7 linked regions of the Rattus norvegicus genome follow. The protein of the gene in region 7 purifies or fractionates together with the protein of the main gene of each other region. This does not show direct contact. Links are inferred from orthologs where the notes say so. Each region holds a gene or a part of one and is shown on either strand. Other genes may lie near its edges. The genes, in order: Hnrnpu, Tsr1, Rbm42, Dnm1l, Larp7, Vcp and Serbp1.

Region 1 (3,986 bases), on a different chromosome or scaffold from region 7:
GGAAGCCCCCGTGTAGAAATAAAATTCTATATGCTTCAAGAACACAACATATTTAATAAGAGAAAAACAGATAGTTTAGTTTTATTCCTATTTTTTGAGATAGGATCTGGTATGTAGCCCAAGGTAGCCTAGAATTTACTAAGTAGCCCTGGCTTTTAACTCTTGATATGTCTGCCTCATTCTGCCAAGTGATAGGACTACAGGTAATTTTTTTTTTTTTTTAACTAAAACCCAGCCTTTTGTTATTACCAGTTTGTAGGCAACTTAGCAGGTATACAAACATGTTTATAGTGTCTGAAAAAACAGGGAGAAGATCAAAGTGAATAATCTAGCTGGGTGTTGTCCTACTCATCTGTAATTACAGGATCTCAAAACTGGTGGACTAGATCTGCAGGGACAGACTGTCCTGCAAGAGGCCTGTCTTTACAGTAAGTACATAGAGGGGAAACTTCCATGCAAATCTAAGGCTTTCTTAAGGGTCAGTAGTGCACAAGGCCGGCTTTATGCGCTGTGGCGGGCGCACGGAGCAGCACAACAAGCCTCTTTCCCAGACTTTGCACCGCTGGTTGGGGAAGAGACAAAAGAAAGGCTCTGGCCTCGCCCTTGCGGAACGTAAAATAAGTCCGACTGGCAAGGCACGACTAGTAAAATTTAAACCGCAATTAAGTGGAGGAAAAACTAAACAACAAAAAACCTCTGCATAACAATCGCCTACATGTGTTCTACAGAGAAGCAGTGGAAACTTGAAGGTTTTAAACCTAGAGCCGGAGGGACAGACCCAAAAAACAAAACAAAACAAAAAAAAAACCCCAAAACCTAAACGAAGATGGAAGAAAGGAGGCTGTTCTCGAGTGGGAAATGCAAGGTGAGGACTGAAGGCGGATGGAGGAGAGCGTCCTCCAGGATACAGAAGACAGAGCGCCGATGGAGCGCGGCGACCCAAGAGCCGGAAAGGCCGGCGGCCACTGCGGCGGGTCCGTTAAACCGAAAGGCCGCTTCCAGAGCCTCCATTTGCTCGGCCCGGCCCAGCGCGGAGGTCGCGCCGTGGGGGCGGGGCGGGGCCTGCGCGCGCAGTCGCCCTAGCGGGCCTCGCCTCGGCAGGGGGCGGGGCGCCTATATTACGTGCGCGGCGCCGCCCCTGCGAGAGGACGTTGCGTGCTCGCTCGCGCCAGGCGAGTCTCCGCGTCTTGCCTCGCGAACTCGGTGAAAGGAATTGGCGCCGTTCGACACCAGGCGGGTCCGTTCTGCAGCAGCACTCAGCTATCTCCAGCAGCAGCCGCCGCCCGGGCCGACCAGCAGCCGCCGCCACAGGCCGAGGGAGCCAGCAGTCAGCGGTGAACCCGGGCCCTCACCATGAGTTCTTCGCCTGTTAATGTCAAGAAGCTGAAGGTGTCGGAGCTGAAGGAGGAGCTCAAGAAGCGGCGCCTCTCAGACAAGGGCCTCAAGGCCGATCTCATGGATCGACTCCAGGCCGCGCTGGACAACGAGGCAGGAGGCCGCCCCGCCATGGAGCCCGGGAACGGCAGCCTCGACCTGGGTGGCGATGCGGCCGGGCGCTCGGGAGCAGGCCTAGAGCAGGAGGCCGCGGCCGGCGCCGAAGACGATGAGGAGGAGGAGGGCATTGCCGCTCTGGACGGCGACCAGATGGAGCTGGGCGAGGAGAACGGGGCGGCGGGGGCGGCTGACGCGGGCGCGATGGAGGAGGAGGAGGCGGCGTCGGAAGACGAGAACGGCGACGACCAGGGCTTCCAGGAGGGGGAGGACGAGCTCGGCGACGAAGAGGAGGGCGCGGGCGACGAGAACGGCCACGGGGAGCAGCAGTCCCAACCGCCGGCGGCGGCGCAGCAGGCTTCTCAGCAGCGCGGGCCTGGCAAGGAGGCCGCGGGGAAAAGCAGCGGCCCCACCTCGCTCTTCGCGGTGACGGTGGCGCCGCCAGGGGCGAGGCAGGGCCAACAGCAGGCGGGAGGTAAGAAGGCGGAAGGTGGCGGGTGAGTGTTGCGTTGTGGGTGCGCGCGGCTGTGGGGACCGTGCCCCAGGCCTGCTGGGGCCCCTAGGGGCGAGCGCCGCGGGAGGTGGGGGCGGGGAGCCCCGGGGCCGCGGAGAGGTTCTCGCCATGCCGGCGGCGCCTCCATTATGTATGTCGGGCGCCGGGGGGAGCTGCAGCTGCTGCGGTGGGGGGGGGAGGAGGAGCCGAGGCGGGCAGGAGCGCCGGCCGCTGGGGCGCTGTGTGCGCGCGGTTCGGGCACATGTGGGGGGGGAGGGGAAAAGCCCGAAGGTCCCGGAGCGGGCGGGCTTTGGCGGCTCTGCGCAGCGGTATTGTGCAAGGAGCACAGGGGCTCGGTGTGACGTCACTTCCGGCGGGAGGCGCGGGGAGCGGGGCGGAAGCTCAGTACAATGCGGCGGCGGGGCACGCGGGCTCGGGTGGGGGAGGGGAGGTGGGCCCACGCTACCCCTCCCTCTCGCTTGAGCGCCGCGCACGTGGGCCCGGGCGGTGTCGCGCTTTTTTTTTTTTTAATTTTTTTGAACTATTTTAAAAATGCTTTCTGGAAGGTTGCGGTAGGCTGGCAAAATCCATAACGTCTTTAGACTGCGTCACTGTCTCCAGTCCAATTCCAGACTTTTTTTTCCTTTAAATTCTCATTTGTGGTTTAAAAAGTCACAGAACCAGTCTGAAAAGAAAATCAGTAACAGCTCTTGAGGCTTGAAACAGGAAAAGGTGCTTTCCCCCATTTAGTTTTCAGCCTGGTACTTTAAGGCCGTGTTCTGTGTCGTTATAGGAGACGGCAAAACAGAACAGAAAGCTGGAGATAAAAAGAGAGGTGTTAAAAGACCCCGGGAAGATCATGGCCGAGGATATTTTGAGTACATTGAAGAAAACAAGTACAGCAGGTAGAGAATCCTAACCTAGTTTTCACTTGTCACCCATTCTTTATATGTGGTGGGAAAAGTTTTATCAGGAGACAATTCTGTCTTTCAGAGCCAAGTCTCCTCAGCCACCTGTTGAAGAAGAAGACGAACACTTCGATGACACAGTGGTTTGTCTTGATACTTGTAAGTGAGGCGGACTTTCCCGCTCTTTACTCGTTTTCAAGTGCAGTGTTATTTTTTTGGTTTTAAGTGTTAGGAAAGATGTGTGTTGATCTTAAAGTGCAGAAAACCAGAACTTTGTTTTAAAGCAGGAAGGTAGTGGCTTATGCTAAGGCCATAACCGTTTAATATTAATACCACTTCATTTGTATTGATTTATCAAGCTCTAGTGATTGGTAATAATAGTTTTATGAATTGGAACTTCTCAGTACTTAGGGATGTAAAACTAAATAATTTTCGTTTAGCTACCAGGAACTTGTATTTTAAAAATCTGCCTGTAACTTGTCCTTAGATTATATAGTTTAATCTTTTCTCTTGTGGAACTATATTAAGTGAGCTAAATGGGGGTAGCTGAATACTTACTAATGATCTTCCCATTAGCACACAAGTGTATTCCCTATTCTAAGGATTGTAATATTACCTTTCAATAACTGCTCTTTTGTTCTCAATTCCAGTTCAGTAGCTGCTGCTTTAACATAAGTTGATTTCTTCCAAAGACCTGGGGCAGCAGCAGTGGGCTATCTGAGCCACTAGCTTTCTTCAGCAGCGAATGGTATCAATGGCAGCGCTGTAAATATGCTACTTTACCCAGCTGGGTTGCAATTGAATATGAGGAAGTATTGCAAACCATGAAATGGGCTTTAGCTGTCAGATTTGTATTTTTATCCTTTAAAAAAATTCGACTAGTTTAGTATTTAATAACATCTTTTGTGAGCAGAACAAAAAATACAAATAAGTGTGTAGTTACAGGGCCTCACTTGATGGAAGTTAAGGGTTAAAAGCTTGGGTTCTCATGTTTCCCTGTACAAATCGTGTTCAGAGCCCTGAGAGTTAATTATGTAAAACTTGGCTGGTTTCTAACCACATACCTTTTATAGTCAATTACATCTTGAAAAGAA
Region 2 (4,292 bases), on a different chromosome or scaffold from region 7:
TACCCCTCCCCCGACCGAGATCTCCCCGCGTTGCTGCCGTCACAGGGCGGGGAGCGGGAGAACGGCGGAGCAAACAAGCCCCAGGGCGCAAGCCTGACCCTGGCCGAGGGCGCTGCCAGGGACGCAGAGAGGGACGTGGGGCGCGGCCCTAACAGGACCCCGCCCCCGCCTGGCACGGTGGGCTGGCGGCCGCGCGCGTGGGTGCCACGAACTCTCTGCTCGAGGGCCAGCCCAGGGAGGGGTGCGAGCCCCTGAGACCTTGCCCCGACCGTACCTCCTTTTTCACGTTCCACAGCAGCTTTTCTTTGACTGCGTCCTCTGCGCTGCCCATGGTGCGGCAGGTGGCGGGCAGGCGGCACCAAGCGGCCCCCGAAGCCCCCGTGCGCCCTCACCGCCTCCGCACCTCCCGACTCAGCGCCCCACACGCGAGGCGGAGCCCCCGCCCGCTGCACTCCCCGCCTGCAGCCGCCGCAGCCACTGCCCGGTGCTCAGCTCCGCAGCCATCTTCCGAGCCCCGCAGACGTCAGGCAGCAGGCCCGGCCCCTTCCCACAGCCGGCAGGGAGGGGGTGTGTGCGCTGCGACTGGGGGGGGGGGTCAGGGCGGGTGCGGACGCCTGGGGGCGTCGGGCCCGGGCGCGCGCCGCAGGGATGGTTGTCATGGCGACCGGCCCGCTCCCGCCCCGAGGGCGCGAACCCGCATTGTGAGCGCTGGGAGTCAGCCTCTCGCCACTGCACAAGCGGGCAGACTTTGAAGAGGTACTTACTTCTGGCCTAACCTAAACCACAGTAACCGCTCCCTACTCCTGGCCCCTCGGAGAGGCGTTAAGGAGCCAAGGTCTCGGCTCTGGGTCACTGTGGTTCGAACATGATCCTGTCACTCCTCCGGATCCTGTGGCCTGCCAGCAGTTCTTAGTCGCAACGCTTGCAGGAGAAAAGCAAGAACCCGACCACGAGCTACGAAGAGCAGGTGCCCGAGCACAAGAGGAAGCCTTCGCTCTCCTTCGGGTCTCCACGTCCGGTTTTTGTTCATCTTGCAGAATTGTTGGGAGAGAGGGGCACGAGTCGGAGTAAGAGACAGAACGGAGCCGGTGACACGAGTCCCTTCTAAGTGACTCGCGTTGGGAATTAGAGTCATAGAGGAAAGAAAAGGATACCCAGTTACACGTTTTATTCCTTTATACAATTCATTGGGACCGGAGAGAGCGGCGTGGAAAATCTACTTTTATTTCTTCCCATGTGATGTAACTTTAGGGTGCAAAGGTGGGAAGATGAGAGCAAAGTAGATTTTTCTAATCAAGAGACGAAGCCGGGAGATTACTACCGGCGTCTTTCAGCTCTCAGCAGACGACTGCAGCGTGGGAAAAGTTACCACGACGTGTCCGCAGAGACTCAGTACCCCGCGCTCGCAGGCTGGCGAAAAAAACCTCGCGAGAGGTCACGGGAGCGTAAAGACAAGTCCCTCTCGCGGGCCGGAAACGCTCGGGTCAGCCCGGAAGTAGTGTTTACTCGGTGCACGTGGGCAGTTAGAATGGCGGCTCACCGCTCCGGGCCGCTGAAGCAGCAGAATAAAGCTCATAAAGGCGGGCGGCACCACGGCGGTGGGTCCGCACAACGGGACAGCAAAGGTGCGTAGACAGAGGAGGGAGAAGGGCTGCTTAGTCGATACCCGTGCCCGGAGATTAGACTTGGGACTCGTGCCAAAGACTCTTTTTAAGGAGCTTAGGGAAGTTCTTGTCTGTTAATTTAACCGTGAGGAGAACAGCCACTTCTGATCTGCCTTTCAGGTCGTGTAGGACCGAAAATCCTGTGCAAGAAGCTTAAGAAGCAGCTCAGCCGAGTAGACCAGAGGCATCGCGCCAGCCAGCTCCGAAAGCAGAAGAGGGAGGCGGTGAGGAGTGGGGGTTGGGAAGCGGTGAGGCCATGGCTTCAGATTGGTAAAGTCTCAAACTAAAAAAATGTGACACGGAAATGGGCCGAAAACGGGTAAACCCAGGGTACCTTCGGGCCGTGTTCTTAGTACGACGCCCCTCCAAACTCCTTGACAGCACATACATACACGAGGCAAGAGAATGCTTGGTTATCTTCATTTATACGGACTTGCTCTTTTGCAGAGGAGGAGGAGGAAAGGAGGAGGAGAAGGATGATGATGATGATGATGATGATGATGATTTTAAACAAAGGATCTCACTAGGTAGCCCTGGCCGGCTGAGAACTCAGAGATCCTCTCTGTCTTCTGAGTGTCCGGTTTAAAGGCTTGGGCCACCACACCTGGCTGTTCCGATCTTTTCTCATGTTTTACGTTACATAAATTTCCCTTAGTATTTTTACAGAGCAACAGAAAGGAGAGCAGTTGTGCTTTGGGGTTGCAGCATCTGTACTTTTGAAGATGTAATGACTAGTGAAGCAAATGATTGAGATATTCTTGAATCTTTGTGTTCCTAGGTTCTGGCAGAGAAGAGGCAGCTGGGCAGCAAGGATGGGCCTCCACATCAGGTGCTGGTGGTGCCTCTGCACAACAGGATTTGCCTTCCAGAGGCATTTAAACTGCTTCAGAACGAAGACCTGGGAACAGTGTATTTGAATGAACGGGGAAGCACCCATAGTTTTATGCTTCTGAGCCCTAGCTTGAAACATCGGTGGTCTTTCACATATGCAAGACCAGGTTAGGGGATCTAATCCTTTTCTCTTCTTATGTTTAAGTGGTTCTATTTCTTGATTACAATGTGCTAACTATCTTTTTTTTTTACGGTGTCTTTTATATACAGGGGATCTGCATACACTATTAGACATGGCTAAAGTTGCTGATACCATCCTGTTCCTCCTGGACCCATTAGAAGGCTGGGACAGTACTGGGGATTATTGTCTATCTTGCCTCTTTGCTCAGGGCCTTCCCACCTATAGTAAGTGTGTTCTAGTATCAGTGAGACCAGAAAACAAAGTAAATTTTCCTTTCATTTTTTTAAAGATTTATTTATTTATTATAAGTACACTGTCGCTGTCTTCAGACACACCAGAAGAAGGCATCAGATCTCATTACAGATGGTTGTGAGCCACCATGTGGTTGCTGGGATGTGAACTCAGGACCTCTGGAAGAGCAGTCAGTGCATTTAATCCTTTTATCTTTTAACAGCTCTGGTCCTTGAGACGTAATGTTTAACACTTGGTTTAGGAGTAAATCAAGGAGTTGAATTCTGCTGGCCTGGGCTATACTTGTCCAGATTAAACATTATTTTCATATATTTTAGTTTTTGGTGGTGTTTGCTTGTTTGTTTTGGAGACAAAAAGTTCCTCTTATGTAACCCTGACTGTCCTGGAACTGTTCCTGTAGACCAGGCTAACCTTGATCTTACAGAGATTTGCCCCCTACCACCCAATTCCAAGTGTTGGGATTGAAAATGTGCACTGCCACCTAGCTTTTTTTTTTTTTTTTTTTTTTTGGTTCTTTTTTTCGGAGCTGGGGACCGACCCAGGGCCTTGGGCTTCCTAGGTAAGCGCTCTACCACTGAGCTAAATCCCCAGCCCTATTTTCATATTATTAAAGAGAACTTTTAATTTCTGGGCTGTCCTGTGCCCAGGAAAGGACTAGGAAGTTAACACTCATTGTGACGTTTCTTTGGCTGTTGGGAGGTTTATGAAGAACTGGAGAGGGATCTTCAAGCAGTGGAGCACTAAGCTCCTAAGTTCTTCTCTCTTCTTTCAGTGCTAGCTGTCCAGGGACTTCCTAGTCTCCCACCAAAGAGACAAACGGATGCCAGAAAGAAGCTAAATAAAACAGTGGAGAAACGCTTTCCTGAAGACAAACTCCTGCTGCTGGACACCCAGCAAGAATCAGGAATGTTACTCAGACAGTTGGCTAACCAGAAGCAAAGGCATCTTGCTTTTCGGGATCGGCGAGCTTACTTGTTTGCCCATGATGCTGACTTCATGCCTAGTGAGGAGAGTGACTTAGTGGGCACCTTGAAAATCTCAGGCTACATTCGAGGGAGGACTCTGAATGTAAATAGTTTGCTGCATATTGTTGGACATGGTGATTTCCAAATGAATCAAATAGACGCGCCTGTGGATCCTTTCCCTTTAAATCCTAGAGTGGTTAAATCCCAAAAGAAACCAAGCATGTCAATGGAGGTAAGATTGGTGTTTCCATTTCTGGGAGTCTAACTCACTTGGCTACATTCCTTGCCTGAGATTGTTTTTAATTTTTTTACTGAATTTATTTTTGTGTGCTGGAGAGGGGTATATTACGAGTGTGGAAGGCCTTGTGGGGCCACCCTGCTTTTTAAATTTCAGAGCAT
Region 3 (4,003 bases), on a different chromosome or scaffold from region 7:
GCCTAGCCGTCAATGTGATCAGGGACCTGAGAAGGGTAAATTATAATCTCCTTGGCTTATGTATCAACTAAAATGACAGAGACTAGTCCATAGTCACCTAGACAGTCTTCCCAGGCTCCTGTGGTCTCCAAAAGACTCATGAACAGTCTAACGTCTAACAATGCGTTAAAAAACCCATCAAATTCCAAATGAAGAGCATGCTACAAAATACTTAATCAACACTCCTGAAACATGTGCCTGGTTAGAGAAGCCGGTGGAAATCCAGCAACTAAATGGAACAGGAATGTGGCATCCTGGTCAGATGATGAGACAGAATAGGGGCATTAGGTAACCATAAAAGGAATTAGAGTAACACATGAGTCTTAATTCATGAAAATGTTAGCGGGTTTAGTGGAGCCGTCAGGAAAAAGAGGCAGCAGATCTCTAAGTTCAAGGCCAGCCTGGTGTACATATCAAGTGACAGGCCAGACAATCAAAAACAAATATAATAAAAAATTTTTTTAAAAAAACTTCAATCCTTTCTAGATCTCTCTAGTATAAAATCCAATATTTTTGTTCTGTATCTGTAATCCCAGCACTTGAAAGCCTACGGCAGAAAAAAAAAAAATGCCCGGGCTGGGGATTTAGCTCAGTGGTAGAGCGCTTACCTAGGAAGCGCAAGGCCCTGGGTTCGGTCCCCAGCTCCGAAAAAAAGAACCAAAAAAAAAAAAAAAAAAGAAAAGAAAGCCTACGGCAGGAAGATTTCTAATAGTTCAAAGCAACCTAGGGAGTTTCATGCCTGGGCTCCAAACCAAACCAAACCCCAAAATGAAAAAGAAAATATAGGCAGTCAATAAAATTAAATTTTGTTTTAAAAAAGAATAATGAACTGACCCCTGGCAGTGTATCTGTTAACGGAGGGCAGGAGACCGCTACCCTAACTTGGCGGTGTTTACAAACTTTGGAAGGGCCTCCGAACTTCCGTGCCTCCTCAAAGTTCCGGCTTCCACAGTGGGGTGGGTCAAAGTGACGTTGCTTCGCTCTCATTCGCCTACCTTCCTCTACGAGGGCGTGGCCTGCCCTAACGCTGCGACTGTCAGACGTGAGGCCCTTCCGGGGACCTGTCTTTCCGACACTCTAATTGGCTTGTGCTCGTCCTGGGGGTGTGGCCATGTCTCATTAGCCCCTGTTCTTAAACTACGTCCTCACGCAGCGCATCCGTCGCGGTAATCCACACGTCATCGGCCGGCTCCCACCCTGAGGGGACAGGGACTCGACCGTAGAACCCGCGGCTGCGGCTGAAAAGAGCGGCGAAGGCCATGGCATCAGCGATGGCCGGAGCGGGACCAGCTCCGGGACTCCCGGTGGCGGGAGGGCCCGTGGTCCCGGGGCCTGGTGTCGGCATCCCGGGCAAGAGCGGCGAAGAACGCTTGAAAGAAATGGAGGCGGAGATGGCCCTGTAAGGCCCTGAGTAGGAAAAATAAAAGCTGTCTCCGGGCAAACCCACTCAACCCTGCAGCCTCCAGGTTTTCGGAAGCCTGAGATGTGGTTCCATAAGGGGCGGTGGGACCCGAGGGACGGGGGGAGGCGTTGGTTGGGATGAAGGCGCTGTGGAAAGTACCCAGCGCCTCAGGCTTAGTAAGACTTGACATATGGTATCTGTCCCGCACCCCCAGGTTTGAGCAAGAAGTACTGGGAGCTCCGGTGACCGGAATCCCAACTGCTGTGCCTGCGGTGCCCACAGTGGAGGCGATGCAGGTTCCCCCAGCACCTGTGATCCGCCCAATTATCGCCACCAACACATATCAACAGGTAAGGCGGGAGCTGCAGCTTATGAGTTGGGAGAACACAATGGTTTGATCCCAATAAGGGTCTATCTGAGGAGAGCGATTGACGTTTTGGCTGGCATGACAAATAACTTAAGGGCCAGGGACTCAGAGTACAAGGCAGTACATTTAATCCATTGGAAACTAGGTTCTACAGCATTCTGTCTGATAGAACTTTCTGCAGTGGTAGAATGGTCTGTATAAAGTTTTTACTCACAAATTTGGGATGTAATTCAGTGGTAGAGCACTTAGCCTCTGCAGAGCCCTATTTTTCTAACCCTACCACCACCACAACAACCAAAATAATAGTAAATTGTATATTTGTGTTAAGTCATTCCCAAGCCTCGTTGATAATATTCTGGGTGCTTAACAGTCAGCTGTCAGGAAGAAGCTGTGGAAAGAAGGAAAGAGGGAGGAACTATTTAAATGAACACCAGCAGAAGAAACTTGTTAATTCTGTTCACAGTTATTAGGTGGGCTGGGATGCAGCTCAGTGGCAGATCTCATGCCTGGCATGCCAAAGCCATAGGTTCAATCCCTTGTATTGGGGGCAGGGGGGGTTCAAAAGCAGGTCTTGAGTGCCTTCTCTGCACTAGGCACTGTTTTAACTAGAGGGTGTATAGGAGAAAACAATACAGAGAAGTTCTTGATTTTTTTTGGCCTTACAAAGTGGTAAGGAGGGCAGAGTTATTAGCAGTCAGGGAAGGCCTTTTTGGTTTGGCATTAGTAAAGCAAGGATATAAATGAGATGGTGAAACCATGCAGATATCTGGAGTGATGTTATCCCCGGCAAAAAGCCATCCGTACCAAGACTGAGACAAAGTGGTCGTCTTGTTCATGCACCAGCAGAGAGGAGAGAACAAAAGGGAACACGGAGAAGACTAAGACAGTAATAGAAGCTAGATCTAGCAGGGTCTTCTGAGCCCCTTAAAGACTCTTAGCTTTCACTTTGAAAATGAGGAACTGCTAGAGAATTCTAAGTCGATAGGTGGTAATGGTTCACCTTACAGGTTAAGCAAGTGGCTTTCGCTATCCGGATAATATACTAGAGAGGGCAAGGGTGAGTTCAAGGAGATCGAAGAGTTTAATAATCTAGGTAAGGCATAGGTGGAAAACAGGGAGGACAAGTCAGCATCAGTTGAGATAGTGTGGGGTCTGCAGCCTCGCCCTGAACATACCTGCTCTCAGAAATGACAGGGACCAGGTTCTTGGATTGGAGATTAGGACTATAGGAAAACTGAGTCAGAGACATTGATCCTGGGAGCTATTCATCGTAATAGCTTAAGCTGTTAAGCGGTGGTGGAGCATGCCTTTAATCCCAGCACTTGGAAGGCAGAGTCAGGTGAATCTTTGTGAGTCTGAGGCCAGCATGGTCTACAGATGGAGTTACACGACAGCCAGGGCTACACAGAGAAAGCCTGTCTTGAAAGACCAACAAAACCAACACAAACAGCTTTACTTAGTGTGGCTCCAGACACCCCAGTGAGGAGGCCTTGTAGCTGACCATGACTGCTCACCAGCCACATAGAACAAAGGGTAAAAGTATTAGCCCGCCACGGGAGCCAGCATCTCTGAGCCAGGACTCCTTCTCCCCAATAGGTCCAACAGACCCTGGAGGCCCGGGCAGCTGCTGCAGCCACAGTAGTTCCTCCCATGGTGGGAGGCCCTCCTTTTGTGGGCCCAGGTAAGTAAGAAAATGAGGGGCCCTGTTTCAGGCAGAGTGGTAAAAAGGGGTGCCCAGAGGTTGCCTTCCACCATCCTCATCTCTTCCTCCCCACAGTTGGCTTTGGCCCTGCTGATCGAAGTCACCTGGACAGTCCTGAGGCTCGAGAGGCCATGTTCCTGAGGCGAGCAGGTAGGTTGGGGACCGCGACCGCACTTTTGGCCACTCGTTTAGGTTTAGAAACTCTGGCTCTGCCCTGCTGTAGATCCCTTTCTCCATCCTGAAACTTTGTATAGTACATCCCTGACCATGTCCTTCTGTACTGTCTCGAGTCACTGCACTCAGTCCGATCCTCTGGGATCTAGTCTAGCACTGCACTTGTCATTACAGATCTTGACAAGGCTCTCAACTTGTGGCACCTTCCAGCAAGCTCTTCAGTTTGCTTACTATGCTTGTCATCTTTTCCTCCCTCTGACAAGCAAGCTTTGTCACATAGTAAACATGACATACAACCACTGAGGGGGGACAGACCCTG
Region 4 (4,197 bases), on a different chromosome or scaffold from region 7:
AAGAAAGTTCCTAATAGTTATTTTTAATGCAGGAAGTCAATTTATATTTTCAGGCTTATTTTGAATCAAAGCATATTTTACTTTCTAACATTAGGGCAGTATAGACTCAGGAGCCATTAATTACACAGTCTGTTCCTACATCTTTATGAGTCTTTCAGATCTTATATTTTTCCTAAAACTGCAGAAGTTTCAGAATTTTGTTTGTTTTTTAAGACTATAAAAATGAAGGATAGGTGGATACATTGATTATGTGAGGAACTCGCCAGGCTCCACCTTTTGAAGCCAGGTCAGTCTATATAAATAGTGCATGCATTATAGTCATGAAATGTCCTGGAGCTTCCTCTTTGAGGACTACGGCTGCAGCTTTAAGACTAAAAAAAGGTTACGCAGGTCATCATATGCACAGGCAAACTGCTTTGTACAACTAGAACATCAATTGTTCTTGTAAGTTTGACTGAAACGGACAGACTTGATATACATCATAGGAAACTTGAAAAATGTGAATTAAACATGTGATTTGTCTTGTAATGAATAATATACTTTTCAGCTTATAGCCAGTCTTCACACAAGCAAATTCATACACTGCGATACACAAAAGTCCATAAATAAATTTCTACTCAGGTAGGCAGTAGCTAGTAGGTTCAAGTCAGCAAAGTGTAGAAGACCAAACAGTTCTGTTCACCAAAGATGAGTCTCTCGGATTTCAGCAATAATTTGACTGGCTCCTTGTAATGCCTGCATTAAAAGAAATAAAAACTCAAGTTAGAATGTTAATCTGAATTTTATAAGAAATGTCTCCATTTTCAATGCTTAAAAAAAGAAATTAAAAAAAAAGAGCAGTATCTTTTCTGAAATTTTAATCTAATCAAATATGAGTGTGAAGGGGACAAGGTCAGAGTGTAACTTTAATATCTTGCACGTGTATGTGCACATTACAGGGAGACAGATCGAGAACAGTTTCATTTGCACGTGTATGTGCACATCACAGGGAGACGACAGATGAGAACTTTCATAGTCACCTTCAGCATGTCAGCCGCTTCTTTTCTTCGCTGTGCCATGTCCTCGGATTCAGTCAGAAGGTCATCTAATAAGGATGACTTATACAGCTGCCCTACTAATTCACTCTGAAGAGTATCTTTCACATGATTAACCAAAAAATGCATTACTGCCTTTGGGACGCTGCAAAGCAAGGTCAAATCATGAACTTTTGGTAACAATTCTATTTTCCAAAATTTAGCTCAGTGGTTCTCAACATGTGAGTTGCAATGCCTTTGGAAATTAAATGACCCTTTCACAGGGGTTGCATATCATATATTCTGTATATTAGATATTTACATTATTATTCATAACTAGCAACATTACAGTTAATAAGTAGCAACAAAGTAATTTTATGGCTCCTGTCACCACAACATAAAGAACTATGTCGCAAGAAAGTTAAGAACCATTGATTTAGACTTTAACTAGAGTATGGCTTTGTAATGAAGTTAAATAAGAACACTGAATATTTAATATACTCAGTAAAATAGATACTCTTCAAGTATTCATTTAATGAATCAGTAAGCAAAGTCACAATGCTTGATATTTTAACTTCAATCATCCATATCCCATATATACACAACAATGATCATTACTCTCAATAGCCCAAACTGAAATAATAAAATATTCTGAGTAATGAGTAGATATACAAAATATGGTCTATAATACAGTATTTCAGTCAATTGTAGAAAGGAAGTCAATTGTAAAAAGGATTCAGGCTGTATGAACAAGCTTTAAAACACACTGACAAGTAGCTGAGATTTAAGGCCTGATCTACAAGATAAATCCCATACCTGGCATCATTACTGGGCCACAAACTTTTGGCTAGACAGATCAAAGAGACCCCAGCCAGAAGAGAACCTACCACTATTATTATACTTAATGGACAAAGCATTCAAACAGTTCCTAACGACCTATTGTTATAGCCATCAATTATACATCTCTCAACCTTCATCTGAGAAATCGTTGCTTATAGTGATTAACAGATCCACAGTGGCCAAGATGCAGAGAATAAGACATACAACAGTCCATCCTAAGTAGAGTACCTATATCTCCTCCCAAGAATCAAGGACCATTGCAGAAGAGGTGGTGGATGACAAGGAAACATTTCTGGACACAGTAGCGCAGCTGCACATATGAACTCAGCACTTGTGACAGCATGCACAAGACTGGTGCAAGCCTAAACCAGACCACAACTCAGCATGAGTAGAGAGGGGTATGGAATACAAAGTCTCATCCCCAGCAGAGGAGCGATTGGCAATTCTCAGCTGCTGGGAGAGGGTCAAAGCGAAGCTGCTAAGAGCTCAGCCAAGCTCTAGTAGAAGGCTACACACTAGTAATATCAAGCAGCACAAATTGGCCTTGATTGAGGAAGGAAAAAACAAACACAAATTTGGCTAAGAAAGGGCAGAGATCTAGGAAGAGTTCCAGGAGGGAGCATGAAAAGAATCAAAATACAAAGAATTCTCAAATATTTCTTTAAAAGGGGAGGGACACTCACAAGTGACAAAAGCCAGACAAAAGGTCACATGTTATTGTGTTCCCACTAGCATGAAATGTCTGATTGGCTAATTCACAGGCACCTTAGAGGCAACCGGACAGGAAGTTATTAATGACAAAGGCTGTACTTTACTTTAAGTAAGGTAATAAAATGTAAACCATGTAGGCTACTAGAACATAAGAATGTTTTTCAGAGTACTGTGGGGATTGAATCCAGGGCTTCATGAATACTAGACTAAACCACTGTGTACTACTCAGTGGACCCACACTGCTACTCTTTGATTTTGGTTTTGTTTTGCGATGGGTGTAGTGAGAGTTTGTATGTATATCTGTGATCATTCTGCTTGAGGCTCAATCTTCCTGACCTGTGATTATGGACACTGCATTCCTACATCCTTGACTTTTAATTTTATTCAGCCGATATATAATATTCTAATTCCATGTCATCTTGCAATCGCAGTTAACATTAATATTTAGAGTCAAAGGGAATCTAAAGATTTTAATGTATGATTTTTTAAACATCAAGAACTCACCCAACAGTATTTACATATTAAATAATACTAACCTGTCTTGAATATTCTTTCTGACAATTAGAAAATATGATTTGATGAGTCTTTCAATAACCTCACAATCTCGCTGTTCTCGGGCAGACAGTTTTCGTGCAACTGGAACTGGCTAAAAGAGGTAAAAATATTACTTCTATGCTATTTTGAAATGGCAACATTAAAAGTTAAAGATTTTGGTGAATTTAATTTCTTCTGTTTAGAGAATATCTGCTGTTAACTTGGTACACTTGTAAATTTAAACAGAATTGTGGTGGCTTACCACATCTAGCAAATTGACAGCATGGCCTTTTTGTGGACTTGCTGGCATAATTGGAATTGGTTTTGATTTTTCTTCAGCAAGTAATTCTTCAGCTTTTGAAGTTTTCAGCATTCCTCTCCAGTTGCCTGTTGTCGGTTCCTGACCACCATCTCCAATTCGACCACCATCTCCAATTCCACCACCTGCAGATGCAACCTGAAAACACATGTTCCAAACCTATACTCTGTATATTTAACAACAAAAGAAGTTCACTTTCTTTGGTGGCAATCTAGAACCAATTTTCTCTGCTTCCTATATGGAATTTATCCAAACAGATAATGAAGTCCAGAAATAATGGTGGCATTTGTCACTAGAAACTTGAGAGATTCTGTTTGAAGCTGTCTGTAAGCCAATAGCCAAACTCAGGTCCTATTTAATTACTTTTTATTCATTACTTTCCAAAATTTTTTATCTTTCACCATGCCTAAACACTAAATTAAATGCACACACAAGAAACAGAACTTGCCCTTGGTTTCATCTCATCAAAATAATCTTCAACACTTAACACTGACCTCTGACCTTACAGTCCTGGAGCTTATGGTTCTACACAGTTCTAAACCAGTTCACTATAGTTCTGACTGTCCTTGAGAGTCAACAGTTAAAGTAGACCTTTAATAGAAGAAAGACTACACCATAGACTGACCCGACTATCGCATTACCAAGCTTCCTAAAATGTGAAATGTAACGAGCACAGCATACTCTGATCCAGTGAGAGAACCCACTGTTACTCTCACAACCTTCTAAGAGAAAAAACTGCCTTCTTACTATAGTGGGAAAAATAAAACACACATCAATGTT
Region 5 (3,500 bases), on a different chromosome or scaffold from region 7:
TTCCAGTGTGTGCTCAACAGAGTTGCAGATTAGCAGCAGTGACGGCCTTGGTCCTCATGCCGCCCAGGGAGTAAGCAGGAGCCACCACACTCAAACCTGGAAGCACTTATTTTAAAGGCACAGCGAGGGCCTCCATGTTAAAGTGAAGGAGGCCCCTTACGCAGACTCCAGTGAGGTTCTTAAAGGCGTGAGGATAAAGGAAAACTTACCATCACCCAAACATGGAAGCACTTACTTTCTTCGTTCCAAAGCAAGGACAACCACGTTTAAGTGGTGGGAAGCCCAGTCTTTATACTTACGAAGTTGCCAGGCTCTTGACTGCAGCATTTTAAAGAGAATGGTGAAGAGTTTGAAGACACCCCCACTGAAACATGGAGGCAGGTAATCCCATGTTAAAGCAGAGGGGACTCCCACCAGACGCCAAGGTGTTCACTCCTCCAGGGAACCTTGAGTTCACTTCTACTAAAACATGGCAGCACTTACTCTTCAATGTGACAGAAAGCATTCCCATGTTAAAGTGGAAGGGAGCCCGCCCGCCCGGCAGCTTCTTAGAGGAGCGCTGGCTCGGAGCCGTGAAGGGACCAGGCTGCAGACTCACCTTACCTTGGTGACCTGCTTCCTCGCTCTCCTCGGAGGGTGGAAGACGGCGACTTTAGACCTGGTATTTATACGACTCCCAGCTCCTGCAGTCCTTGGGCTTTCTATGTGGAGAATCGGTTCAGGGCCTTTGTTATTTTAATGTATCAGCTCCCAGGGAAAGTAGATCCTGGGGCTCCAGGGTAGGTCTGGGTTTTTTTTCTTCCCCTTTTTTGAAGTAAACAGATGTCAATGTTAACTGTTAAAACCATTACCACAAGATATCCTCCTCTTTAAAAAAAATCCCCTATCTGCCTGTTTGATGGCACAGATTAGGGTAACAATGAGCACCCCCACAGAGCCCGGGAGGCTTTGTGCTTCTCTGGGGGAGCCCTGGCTGCCTGAAGACACATCTACATGTTAAATGTATGTAAATAAATAAACTGCTGTCACGGGCTGTTTTTTTCTTCTCAGAAATTCCTTTTGAATTAAGTAAATCCTAAGGAATGTTATCTCTCAAATTGGAAGCAATTTGAGAAATCTTTGAATCTCAGTCTCTTACCTTTTCCGCAAGTTGCCTGATTTAGTAATTGTTACTTCAGGGAAGTGACTCAAAAGTGATTTTACAATTGAATATTAGAAACAACTAGGAAACTCCTCAAGCATTTTCCTTGAGTATTAAGGAAGAGAAACTTCCTTTGTGTGTTTGCAAGATAGATTTATGGCTTAACAAATGATGTAAATGTGTGCCTTAAAAAAGGAAAGTGGGAAAGACTTGGAGTTACTGTGAGCATTATGTCTAGTCAACCTCAGGTTTCTGACTGGGTCGTCTTGTCACTATAGTAGTTCAATTTTTGTTTTACAGGACTGAATGGATGGATTTGAAAAAAGAGTATTTGGCACTGCAAAAAGCTAGCATGGCTTCTCTAAAAAAAACAATATCTCAAATAAAATTGGAGTCGGAAATGGAGACAGAGTCCAAAGCGCCTCGTAAGTCTGCAGTGGGGACTGAAAGGGTGAAGCTCATGCAGTGTCATTTGGCTATTTACACCAAAGAGCAGGCTTTAGTCTATAAATGTTTTCAAGGGTGGCTTCATAGCAGTGATAGAGTGCTTCCCCAGTTTAAGCTGAACCATTACCAAAGAAATTTTTTAAGAAAAGACAAAAATGTGAAGGTTTATATTACCGAGTAAGTTTTAACAGCCTGCCTACTCTTTCCCTACATCCCCTGTGAGCTCACTCCAGAGTGCCTAGAGGGAGGAAGAGCGACTGCAGGTCTACTGGGCGATGTGCACCAAGTGGGAACATATTAAAGCATATTCTCACTTGCTGTAGTATTGGTAAAGATGTTAAGTTCTTATAAATTATACAAATACAAATTCTCGCATTTGAGTAGTGTGCTTTGATTATTCTTATGTTTATATTGGCATATATCTATTCAACTTTTAGTCTTTGGTTTAGATGTATAATGCGTTTTATTCCATATTGATTCCAATGAGCAATGTGATTCCTTAATACTAATTTCCAGTTGCACGAGTTCTCAGTTCCTTAAGTTAGCCTGAGAAGTCTCTGCTGTTGGAGGATGGTGCTTCTCATGTGAAATGTGAGGGGTGAGGAAGTTACCTGTGCCTCTTTCCTCTCACAGCAGCAGGCAGTGGTCAGCAGTGCTCCACCCAGGAGAAGGTCAGTGCACAGGGCCCGCAGTTCGTGACTGGAGTGATCGTGAAGATCCTGAGCGAAGACCCTCTCCCAGGCAGGAAACAAGTCAAGGTAATACTTATGAACCCCATGTGACATGTTTTCAAAATAGTATGGAAACAAAACAACTCTAGTCAGAATTTGTACCTCTCTGTAAACTGCTAAGAGAGTCCAGGGTAACTCTGACAACTCTTAGCTTTACTCTGAATACCAAAATTCCTCAGGATAGAAGCCTGAACGCCTGCCTTTCTTGTTTCCCTAATGGTTGGTGACTGTACTTCCGTGGAAAATGATAGTGATTTGACCTTGGAGTTGTTGAGATATGTATTCAGTGTTAAGCCTTGAAGAGCTTTTCATCGATAAAGATATTTGATGGCATGTTTTGTTTGTTGGTTGGCAGGATTTTTCAAGACAGGCTTTCTCTGTATTCCTGGCTGTCCTTGCACTCACTCTGTAGACCAAGCTGTATTTGCCAACCCCAGGTTCTATTAGCTTACATCTGAAAACATGGTAACAATACAGAATGTAGCTTAATAACCTGACAGTAAGCAAATGCTGTGCAAGCATGGAGGCCTGGACTCAGTCCCAAGCACACAAAGGAGAATTTGGTAATGCAACAGTTGAAAGTCCTGTTGTAATTACTTAGTTGTTCTGAAACAAAAACTGAGCTCTGTTGCTGTCACTGATTACCAGATTAATTTGTCATTATATGGGTTTTTAATTAGGATATTAGCCTGACTTTATAATGGATAAATTGTAAATGCCTTTTGAACTGTGGTACTCTAAACTATCTGAAAAACTGATTATAAAACTCTCACCACGAATAGGAAACCCATTACAGTTTCATCAACTCAGTGCAGACTGGTCTCTTGCTGTGTCTTACGTAGTAATGATTAACTGGGTAACAACATTGGAAGGCTCTCAGGTCTCATTCTCTCTCTCTCTCTCTCTCTTTTTTTTTTTCCTTGATTGATGAAGGAAACATTTTTCAGTATGGAAGTTCCTGTCTTACAGAGCATGTGTTAAGGGTGAGCTTCTGTCTTCTAGGCCTGCAGTTCTCTTGTCCGTCACAGTTAAAGGATACACTCTTTTATCCTACAATAGCTAAAGTCTCAATTTTTTTTCTAAAACATTTTAAAAGAATTTGAGTTATTGTGCCTAGAAAATTCTATTCTATACTAAACAGTTTCTTTATTTCTTTAGTTTTAATGAGTGACATTTAACAA
Region 6 (4,268 bases), on a different chromosome or scaffold from region 7:
GGTTTGAGAAGCATGAATATTAACTGAAACAGAGGTCTAACAAAGGAAAAAGCAAATGAAGGGGAAAAACTATTTCTTCAACAAATTAATGAAATCCAGACATAGTATGGTCCATGCCTGTTATCTCAGTAATTGGCAAAAGGCTCCAAGCCAGCCTAAACTGCATAGCAAGACTGTTTCAAGAATAGTAGTGATGATAAATGGATGTCTACAAAGCATTCTTCTAGGGGCGAGATGAGACAGCAAAATCAAACAAAAAAAGCAGTGCCACAAGAAATACCTTACCCTCACTTATTTAAAAAAGGGTCTTGCTATATATAGTTCTGCCTGCTATGTAAAACCAAGATGACCTTGAACTTGCAGTGATCCTCCGGTCTCTATTAGAACCACAGACATGCACCACCACACTCAGCAATGTTGTTACATCTCTAACCATTACTTTAGAGTAATGGGAGTTTCCTTAGCTCTTGTCTCCTTCAAAAGTTATGTCACTTTGGCCACAATGCTGTTGATTCCAAAAATAAATGTGTGTAAACCCACCAAATTTTCTACTGCCTCTTATCTATGAAAATATCTTGTCCAAGAGGCTGCTCATCTTCTTGCTTGATTTACAGGAGTACCTCAAGTGATCACTTTGTATTTTATTCTCAAAAGTGCCTTTCAGGAGAACCTCCAATCTACATACCTGTCCAGACCCTGGCCCTTAAAGTCCTGTAATTCTCCAAAATCCTGTGGAGATTAGAGTCAGTAACTCCAAAAGAGCTGAGGAGCAACTACAGCTCTGTATGTTCTCCTCCCATCATCTGCATGACTCAGGTTCTTTCCAGAACTCAAGGACCACAAAAGGAACTTGGAAATTCAGGTAAGAATCAGCAAGATGACCTAAAGATACAAACTGCCCACGATGCCAGATTTTAGGAATTCTAATTTTAAAACAAACAAACAAACAAAAATCTAGATTTAAGTGGAACATACTGTGACATTCCTATTATCCCATTTTATGGGAGGTAGTGACAGCAAGACAGGAGTTCAAACACAAGGCTGAGTTTGAAGTCAATTTGGCCTACATTATTCCCTGATCTCAAAAAAGAAAAAACAAACCACAGGGCAGTGGAGGCTCACACCTTTGGTCCCAACACTTGAGAGACAGAGGCAGAAAGACTTCCCTGAGTTTAAGGACAGGCTGGTCTACAGAGTGAGTTCCAGGACAGCCAGGGGTTACACAGAGAAACCCTGTCTCAAAAAACAAACAAACAAACAAAAAAAATTTAACTTAAAAAAAAAAAAAACAACAATTGAAATACTGACAGTATTTTAAAAGTCTATTTTGTTGTTTTTTGAGACAGGGCCTGAATGCGTAGACTCCCAGAGTAGCTAGTCTAGTAACGTGCTCCTCTGCCTTTCTTTCAAGTGCTGAGATTAAAGGTGTACAAAATACCACCCACCCTAGCTATTTAAAATATTAATAGTTCTTTTAACCAAATAACTGAGTGAATACTTCATCCGAAGGAAATGAAACCTAAACCACTCGAAACAGCGGGATCTTATAGTTCCCTACACTTGCTATTTGGTTTTGCTTTGTTTTTGTATGGGAAGCTCTAGTTTCTAACTAAATGGGCTGAGACGGCTAAATTTTATTTGATGCTTTCTGAAAGATGAAGGTGGGGCCATAATGTCCAGAGAGTCAGCATAGATGCTTGGGGAGAGAGATGTATTTCTTTTGAAGAGATAAGCCAACTCTAACCTGCAAGTTCTCCAAGCCAAGAACAAACAAAACAAAACAAGAAAAACAACCGAATTCTAACTTCAGCACCTCAAAATAAAAGAAAAACACCTCCTTTCTAGCCACTTCCGATCATAGCAAAAACAAAGATAAATACACAAAGCAAAACAACAATAACAACAACAACAATAAAACTAGGTAAAACTTCCGGGTGTTTACAACAGGCCTAACAAGGTGAAAAACTGCCATTTGAGAAAGGCATGACCTGCCCTCTCTCTACATGTGGTTCAAAACATGCCAACTTCGGGCAACACCGTCCCAGATCCACCAAGACCAGCCTGGGCTTCCCCCAGGTCTTCCGGCCCAGCCTTCCCTTGAGTCTTGGGGCTCCTGAGGCCTTCACGTGGCCCAAAGTCCACGCCCACTGGGCCCAGTCCGGGCCTCAGGCTCGCAGTGTTTTCTCTTCTCAGGCTCGGGGTCTTCTGTATATGGTCGGCGAAATGGCCGACCGGCGTCCTAGCGCCAAAGGGCTCCATGCGGGGAGTGTGGACCCTAAGGCCTAACTAGGCCGGGGCCGGCGTGCCGAGGGAGGTACTCAGGCCGCCGGGGCCTGCATGACACAGCACCATCTTGTCCAGGCTCCGACCCAGGCCCAGCGCGGGCCCGACCTAGGGGGCGCGCGGGTGCACAGCCCGGCCCGAGGCCCTCACTCGCCCCTTGCCTCTCCTTCCGTCTCTCTCTCTCTCCCGGCCTAGACTTTCAGACGCGGCCCGACCGGGCCTACCCAGCACGGCAGGTCCCACGGTGCGCGCCCCCGCAGCCGGCGGGCGGGCACGCGCATACACTTACTCGGCTCCAGAGGCCATGGCGCGCGCCTCTCCCGGTCGGCGGCTGTGGCGGCCTGAGGGTAACGGCTACGAGAATGGTAGGCGACCGACTAGGCCCGGGCTTGACTCACTCAGGTGGAGGAGCAACAGCAGTGACAAACCCACAGGCAGCCTCCCTCTCGCTTCCTCCCAGCGGCACCGGGGCGGCAGGCGGGCGGGAGACGCTAGCTCCTAATCCGCGAGAGGCGACTAATCAAACGACGGCTGCAAACGCTTCACGGAGACTGAACCGAGAAAAGCCGAATCATCGGAAGGAAAGCTGCTCTAACCTCAACCAATCAGCGACTGCCTTAGGACTCGTGCCCGCCTCTCCGTGCCTCTCCCCAGCAACCCACAGACGATAACCAATCAGAAAATTCGTTTGTGGCCTAGCCCCGCCTCAAGGCTGCAACACGCCTAGTAACGCCACGTCAATTGGCCGTAGCACTACGCTTCCTCGACGCATAGGGAGTCTTGACCAATCGACAAAAGCAATAGGCCAGATCCTCTGGTAAAAGGAGAGTCTTTATCCCTCCGAAGGAGGTTTCCTCTACTTGGCTCCAATTGATTGGCTCCTTAGTTTATAAGCAGCTGGGAGAACCTCGCACAAAGGCTTGAACCCTTATTAGTTTAGCTGAGTTGTAATAATAATCCACATAGTTCATTTCTCGCCAATCCTAGGGATCCTCTTACTCCACCATACTAAAATCCTTCGTGCTCCTTTAAAACACTGGCTCCAACGAAGGGCGTGGTGGATGGGCTAGGTCTGTATTTTTAGCAATTGGGAAGCTGAGGCAGGAGGACTATTAGATGGAGATCAACCCAGGATACAAGACCTTTTCTGAAAAACAAAACCATGTCGGCGTAATGGCACATAGCTATAATTCTAGTCTCAAACAGTATCTCAATAAATTTTAAAAGCAGTGTGGTAGTACATGCATTTAATGTCAGCACTTCGGAGGCAGGCGGCTCTCTGTGAGTTTTAAGTCAGCCTGGCCTATAAAAAAGAGTTCCAGCCAGCCAAATGATACTCAAAACTAAGTAAATAAAATTTTAAAACAAGCAAAAACAAGTGGGTATGGTGGTGTACACCCTAGATCTCAGTACTCCAGAGGCTAAAGGCAGGAGATTGACAGTTTGAAGCCAGCTAATGCTGCATAGCTGGACTCTGGTCTACAAAAAAGAACGGAAGGAAGGAAGGAAGGGAGGAAGGAAGGGAGGGAGGAAGGAAGGAAGGAAGGAAGGAAGGAAGGAAGGAAGGAAGGAAGGAAGGAAGGGAGGGAGGGAGGGAAGGAAGGAAGGAAGAAAGGGAGGAAGGGAGGGAAGTAAGGAAGAAAGAAAAAAAGAAAATGGAGACTCCTAGCTCCACCCCACCCCCTCCTCTCTGAACCCTAGAGTTCTGAATCAGCACCCCAGCTCTTAATCCACTCGATTGCCATTGCACTCTCTTCTAATGATGCAGGCTTTGTGATTCCTCAGGGTTTGGGAGTCTGTACTCCTTAACACAGAGTATAAATATTATCTGGAGAGGGAGCGCACTGAGGTTCAAGAAAGTCAAGGACAACTGCAGAACACATAGCAAACGTAGTAGTGCCCAAGAGCAAGAAAGATCAACCATGTGCTGTGATTTAAGGTCCCTGTGCCCCAAAAGACAATTAACTGGCTTTCATTATAGTCAA
Region 7 (3,500 bases):
CCCCGCCTCTTGGGGGTCCTAGAATTTATATATCTTCTGAAAAGTACCTAGAATTCCAAATGTCAAAATTGTATAAACTGTTTGCAGCCGCTGCTGTGTTCAATCTGAAGTAGTCATACCAGGGATCAAAACAAAAACATTCCCATAATCTCTGTGTTTTTTCAAAGAAATCAAAACTCTAAAATTGTCATATTTTATTACTTCTATGCTGAGACATGTAGCTTATATATAAAGATCTTAATTTTGTAACACCTTATTATCAAAGTCTTCAGTGGATTAATTTATAGTTCGAAGAGTCTCTAATGTAAAGTTTGTACTGTTTGACTTGAACTTAGGGTAATTTAGGTGGAGGAACAGTGAAGGATGAGTAATCCTTGTCTAAAATGCTTGAAACCAAATATGTTTCATATTGAGGAATATTTGCACAGAGCACCATGATTTAAAAATCATGGTGAACAAAAAATTTAGTATTTTGAGGTAGGTAGGTTCAGCCTATGTAATTGCATATGTAAACAATGAAGCTTAAAGTTGTGTACATTCATCCTTGGGTAGGAGGTTCTAGTTTTGAAGAATATAGATTTAAAAAAAAACAAACCTCAGATTAATCTCAAATAGAAACTGCATGCCTCATATTGGAGTCCCAATTTGAAGGAACTGTTTTAAATGTTACAAATACTGCTGAAGATTCAGGACTAGAGTAGGAACTTGTCACTTGCATTATATGCCAGTATTCAAGGGCAGGTATCACCTGGAATTCAGAGATATTTGTTAAAGATGGTTACTACCTGAGTCCCAAATGAACTTACTACTTGTTGAGCTAGATAGTAGTTATGTTCATGCACACAGAGTACAGGATTGATGACTTGTCTTCTAAGGGGAGAAAGCATGGTTAAAAATTCATTACCCAGGGGGCTTTACTTAACATTTTAGGCTCATGCGGAAGATTCAGTTATGGACCATCATTTCCGGAAGCCAGCAAATGATATAACGTCTCAACTGGAGATCAATTTTGGAGACCTAGGCCGCCCAGGACGTGGTGGCAGAGGAGGACGTGGTGGACGTGGGCGTGGTGGTCGTCCTAATCGTGGCAGCAGGACTGATAAGGTGATTTTAAGATGCCTTTTCTGTTTTAAGCAGTTTAAGATTTGTAAGAGATTACTGACTAGATATTTTGGAGGAAGGGGCATAAACAGAAATAAAGAATTAACAAGAAACACCATTTGAGACAAGGTTTCACTGTGGAGGTTTAGCAGGCCTGGAACTCACTATATAGACCAGGCTATTTTTAAACTCACATCTGCCTGCCTCTGCCTGTAGAGCCCTGGGTTTAAAGCCATGCACCACCACATCTGGCCTTATGTATGCGTCTTTTTCTTTTTTTTTTTAAGTACCTTAATGATTAGAGTAGTGCTACCAATAAGTTGAATATACTATTGAATTCTTACTCTCTACCTGTCAGGATGCTGTTATACTTTGAATTCTTACTCTCTACCTGTCAGGATGCTGTTATACTTTTTACATGCAGGTGTTAATTTTACTTTAGGGATATCCTCACTGCTGAGTAAATCCAGGTATAGAACAATTTTAGGATTGCAGAAGTTCCTGAGACACTAGTCTATGCCATGATTTAAGAATGGGATTCATGCCAGGTGGTGGTGGCATATGCTCTTAGTATAGGCAGATCTCTGAAAGTTCAATAACAGCCTGGTCTACAAGATAAGTTCTAGACAGCCTGGACTACACAGAAAGATTCTGTCTTAAAAAAAAAACAAAAACGTGGAATTCAATATTTTTGTTCATGGGTGCTCTGTCAGGCTGTTCCCAAACCTGTGGTCAGGCTTCATCCTCCCAAAGTTTGACTATTTGCTTACCATGCCCACTCTAAAATAAGTTCTCAGTGAGAATTTTGAAAGATACCCAAGGGGTTGTTTTTTAATTCAAAATTGCCTATTGACAGTATTAAGAATAATCTTAGTGTCCAGTTGGAATAAACCACAGAACCCTGAAATCTTACTTTTATTTGGGGGGCTTTTTTGTTTCTGAAACTGTGTCTCATTTTACAACCAGTCTGTCCTGGAATCCATTCTGTAGGCCAGGCTGGCCTTTGCCTCCCAAGTTTTGGGTTTAAAGACCCACACCACAACACCTGGTTCAGTAATTGTTTTTCTCTGTTTTGTGTTTTTTAAGTAGCCCTACCTTCCTAATGCTGCAGACCTTTAATACTTATGTTGTGAGCACTCAACCATAAGATTTTTCTTGCTGATTCATAACTATTTTTGCCGAACTGTTGTGAATTGTAATGTGGATCTCCAGTATTTAACCCCCGTGAAAAGTTCATTACACAAACACAATCACAAAGGGGTTATGACCCACAGGTTGAGACCACCACCCTACCTGCTTTAGAGGCTGCATATAGTGGTGTGGTAGCAATGCAATGGGTTTTGTGATCCGTGATACTTTTTCCTGACTCTTTTTTTAAAGATGAAGGTTTCATATATATGAGGATTTTTCTTTTTTCTTTTTTTTTCCCCGGAGCTGAGGACAGAACCTAGGGCCTTACGCTTGCTAGGCAAGCACTCTACCACTGAGCTAAATCCCCGAAGAGGATTTTTCAATAACTTGTTTTTCCCCTCAGGTTGTAATTGGATTCTTTTCTCACATTGAATGTGCTATTTAGATAATTGCACAATGATTAAGCCTGCTTTTATATTGATAATACTATTATGTTGCAAAGTGAAAAGTATAAAATTAGTAAAGTGAGAACCCACATGTTCCATGAGAATTTACTTATATGAAATCATAAGTATGCTTGACGTGGTAGCACATAACCATAATCCCAGTACTTGGAGATGGGTCAGATCATGAATTTGACCGTGGCCTGTGCTACAAATGGCAAACTCTTGTCTGAAGAGGGTGGGAAGGAAGGGAATATGTAACTCTGGTAAACACATAACCCAGCATGTACAACAAGCCCTGCATATGATCCCTAGCATGTCAGATAAATTAGAATATTTCATTGAAGAGTCTCTTTGCAAGTATATGTAGTTTTATTCTGGTTTATAATTTTGTTTTTAAAGTAGAAGCTTTGATCTATTTTGTATGGTGTCTTAACATTATACTATGTATGGACATTAGTGGGCTATTTTCAAGATTTGAAAATTGTGGCTAATCTTCTGTTTTTGTTTTTTCCCTCCCCAGTCAAGTGCTTCTGCTCCTGATGTAGATGACCCAGAGGCATTCCCCGCTCTGGCCTAACTGGATGCCATAATACAACACTGGTTCCTTTGTGGACCCTCCTGTTCAAAGCTTTTGCATGCTTAAGGATCCCAAACAACTAAGAATTAAAAAAAAAAAAAAAAGACTGTCATTCATACCATTCACACCTAAAGACTGAATTTTATCTGTTTTGAAAACGAACTTCTCTAGCTACACAGAAGTAACAAATATGTTAGTCAGTTTTGTATTTAGAAATGTATTGGTAGCAGGGATGTTTTCATAAT

Evidence for each region.
Region 1: the proteins of Serbp1 (region 7) and Hnrnpu purify together in Homo sapiens (affinity purification with mass spectrometry; 3 studies listed by BioGRID and IntAct, with this or other methods). This does not show direct contact. The link is inferred for Rattus norvegicus from reciprocal best matches to the Homo sapiens genes SERBP1 and HNRNPU.
Region 2: the proteins of Serbp1 (region 7) and Tsr1 purify together in Homo sapiens (affinity purification with mass spectrometry; 3 studies listed by BioGRID and IntAct, with this or other methods). This does not show direct contact. The link is inferred for Rattus norvegicus from reciprocal best matches to the Homo sapiens genes SERBP1 and TSR1.
Region 3: the proteins of Serbp1 (region 7) and Rbm42 purify together in Homo sapiens (affinity purification with mass spectrometry; 3 studies listed by BioGRID and IntAct, with this or other methods). This does not show direct contact. The link is inferred for Rattus norvegicus from reciprocal best matches to the Homo sapiens genes SERBP1 and RBM42.
Region 4: the proteins of Serbp1 (region 7) and Dnm1l purify together in Homo sapiens (affinity purification with mass spectrometry; 3 studies listed by BioGRID and IntAct, with this or other methods). This does not show direct contact. The link is inferred for Rattus norvegicus from reciprocal best matches to the Homo sapiens genes SERBP1 and DNM1L.
Region 5: the proteins of Serbp1 (region 7) and Larp7 purify together in Homo sapiens (affinity purification with mass spectrometry; 3 studies listed by BioGRID). This does not show direct contact. The link is inferred for Rattus norvegicus from reciprocal best matches to the Homo sapiens genes SERBP1 and LARP7.
Region 6: the proteins of Serbp1 (region 7) and Vcp purify together in Homo sapiens (affinity purification with mass spectrometry; 3 studies listed by BioGRID). This does not show direct contact. The link is inferred for Rattus norvegicus from reciprocal best matches to the Homo sapiens genes SERBP1 and VCP.

The regions. Positions count from the first base shown.
Region 1 is NC_086031.1:92,615,781-92,619,766, reverse strand, and holds the start of Hnrnpu (heterogeneous nuclear ribonucleoprotein U), read left to right. Parts: upstream 1-1,186; 5' UTR 1,187-1,353; coding exon 1,354-1,966; intron 1,967-2,777; coding exon 2,778-2,889; intron 2,890-2,977; coding exon 2,978-3,051; intron 3,052-3,986. UniProt on the Homo sapiens protein: DNA- and RNA-binding protein involved in several cellular processes such as nuclear chromatin organization, telomere-length regulation, transcription, mRNA alternative splicing and stability, Xist-mediated transcriptional silencing and mitotic cell progression.
Region 2 is NC_086028.1:60,257,298-60,261,589, forward strand, and holds the start of Tsr1 (pre-rRNA-processing protein TSR1 homolog), read left to right. Parts: upstream 1-1,492; 5' UTR 1,493-1,528; coding exon 1,529-1,625; intron 1,626-1,784; coding exon 1,785-1,888; intron 1,889-2,442; coding exon 2,443-2,662; intron 2,663-2,765; coding exon 2,766-2,900; intron 2,901-3,700; coding exon 3,701-4,125; intron 4,126-4,292. Other genes in the region: Sgsm2 (small G protein signaling modulator 2), read right to left, coding at 275-331. UniProt on the Homo sapiens protein: Required during maturation of the 40S ribosomal subunit in the nucleolus.
Region 3 is NC_086019.1:95,033,181-95,037,183, reverse strand, and holds the start of Rbm42 (RNA-binding protein 42), read left to right. Parts: upstream 1-1,203; 5' UTR 1,204-1,298; coding exon 1,299-1,438; intron 1,439-1,655; coding exon 1,656-1,791; intron 1,792-3,404; coding exon 3,405-3,489; intron 3,490-3,585; coding exon 3,586-3,660; intron 3,661-4,003. UniProt on the Homo sapiens protein: Binds (via the RRM domain) to the 3'-untranslated region (UTR) of CDKN1A mRNA.
Region 4 is NC_086029.1:98,130,397-98,134,593, reverse strand, and holds the end of Dnm1l (dynamin-1-like protein), read right to left. Parts: intron 3,556-4,197; coding exon 3,361-3,555; intron 3,211-3,360; coding exon 3,101-3,210; intron 1,180-3,100; coding exon 1,020-1,179; intron 736-1,019; coding exon 679-735; 3' UTR 501-678; downstream 1-500. UniProt on the Homo sapiens protein: Functions in mitochondrial and peroxisomal division.
Region 5 is NC_086020.1:218,677,309-218,680,808, reverse strand, and holds part of Larp7 (la-related protein 7), read left to right. Parts: intron 1-1,441; coding exon 1,442-1,566; intron 1,567-2,221; coding exon of another isoform or gene 2,222-2,224; coding exon 2,225-2,346; intron 2,347-3,500. UniProt on the Homo sapiens protein: RNA-binding protein that specifically binds distinct small nuclear RNA (snRNAs) and regulates their processing and function.
Region 6 is NC_086023.1:62,022,588-62,026,855, forward strand, and holds the start of Vcp (transitional endoplasmic reticulum ATPase), read right to left. Parts: upstream 2,801-4,268; 5' UTR 2,590-2,800; coding exon 2,573-2,589; intron 1-2,572. UniProt on the Homo sapiens protein: Necessary for the fragmentation of Golgi stacks during mitosis and for their reassembly after mitosis. Involved in the formation of the transitional endoplasmic reticulum (tER).
Region 7 is NC_086022.1:97,744,835-97,748,334, forward strand, and holds the end of Serbp1 (SERPINE1 mRNA-binding protein 1), read left to right. Parts: intron 1-930; coding exon 931-1,104; intron 1,105-1,127; exon of another isoform or gene 1,128-1,452; intron 1,453-1,492; exon of another isoform or gene 1,493-2,987; intron 2,988-3,198; coding exon 3,199-3,255; 3' UTR 3,256-3,359; downstream 3,360-3,500. UniProt on the Homo sapiens protein: Ribosome-binding protein that promotes ribosome hibernation, a process during which ribosomes are stabilized in an inactive state and preserved from proteasomal degradation.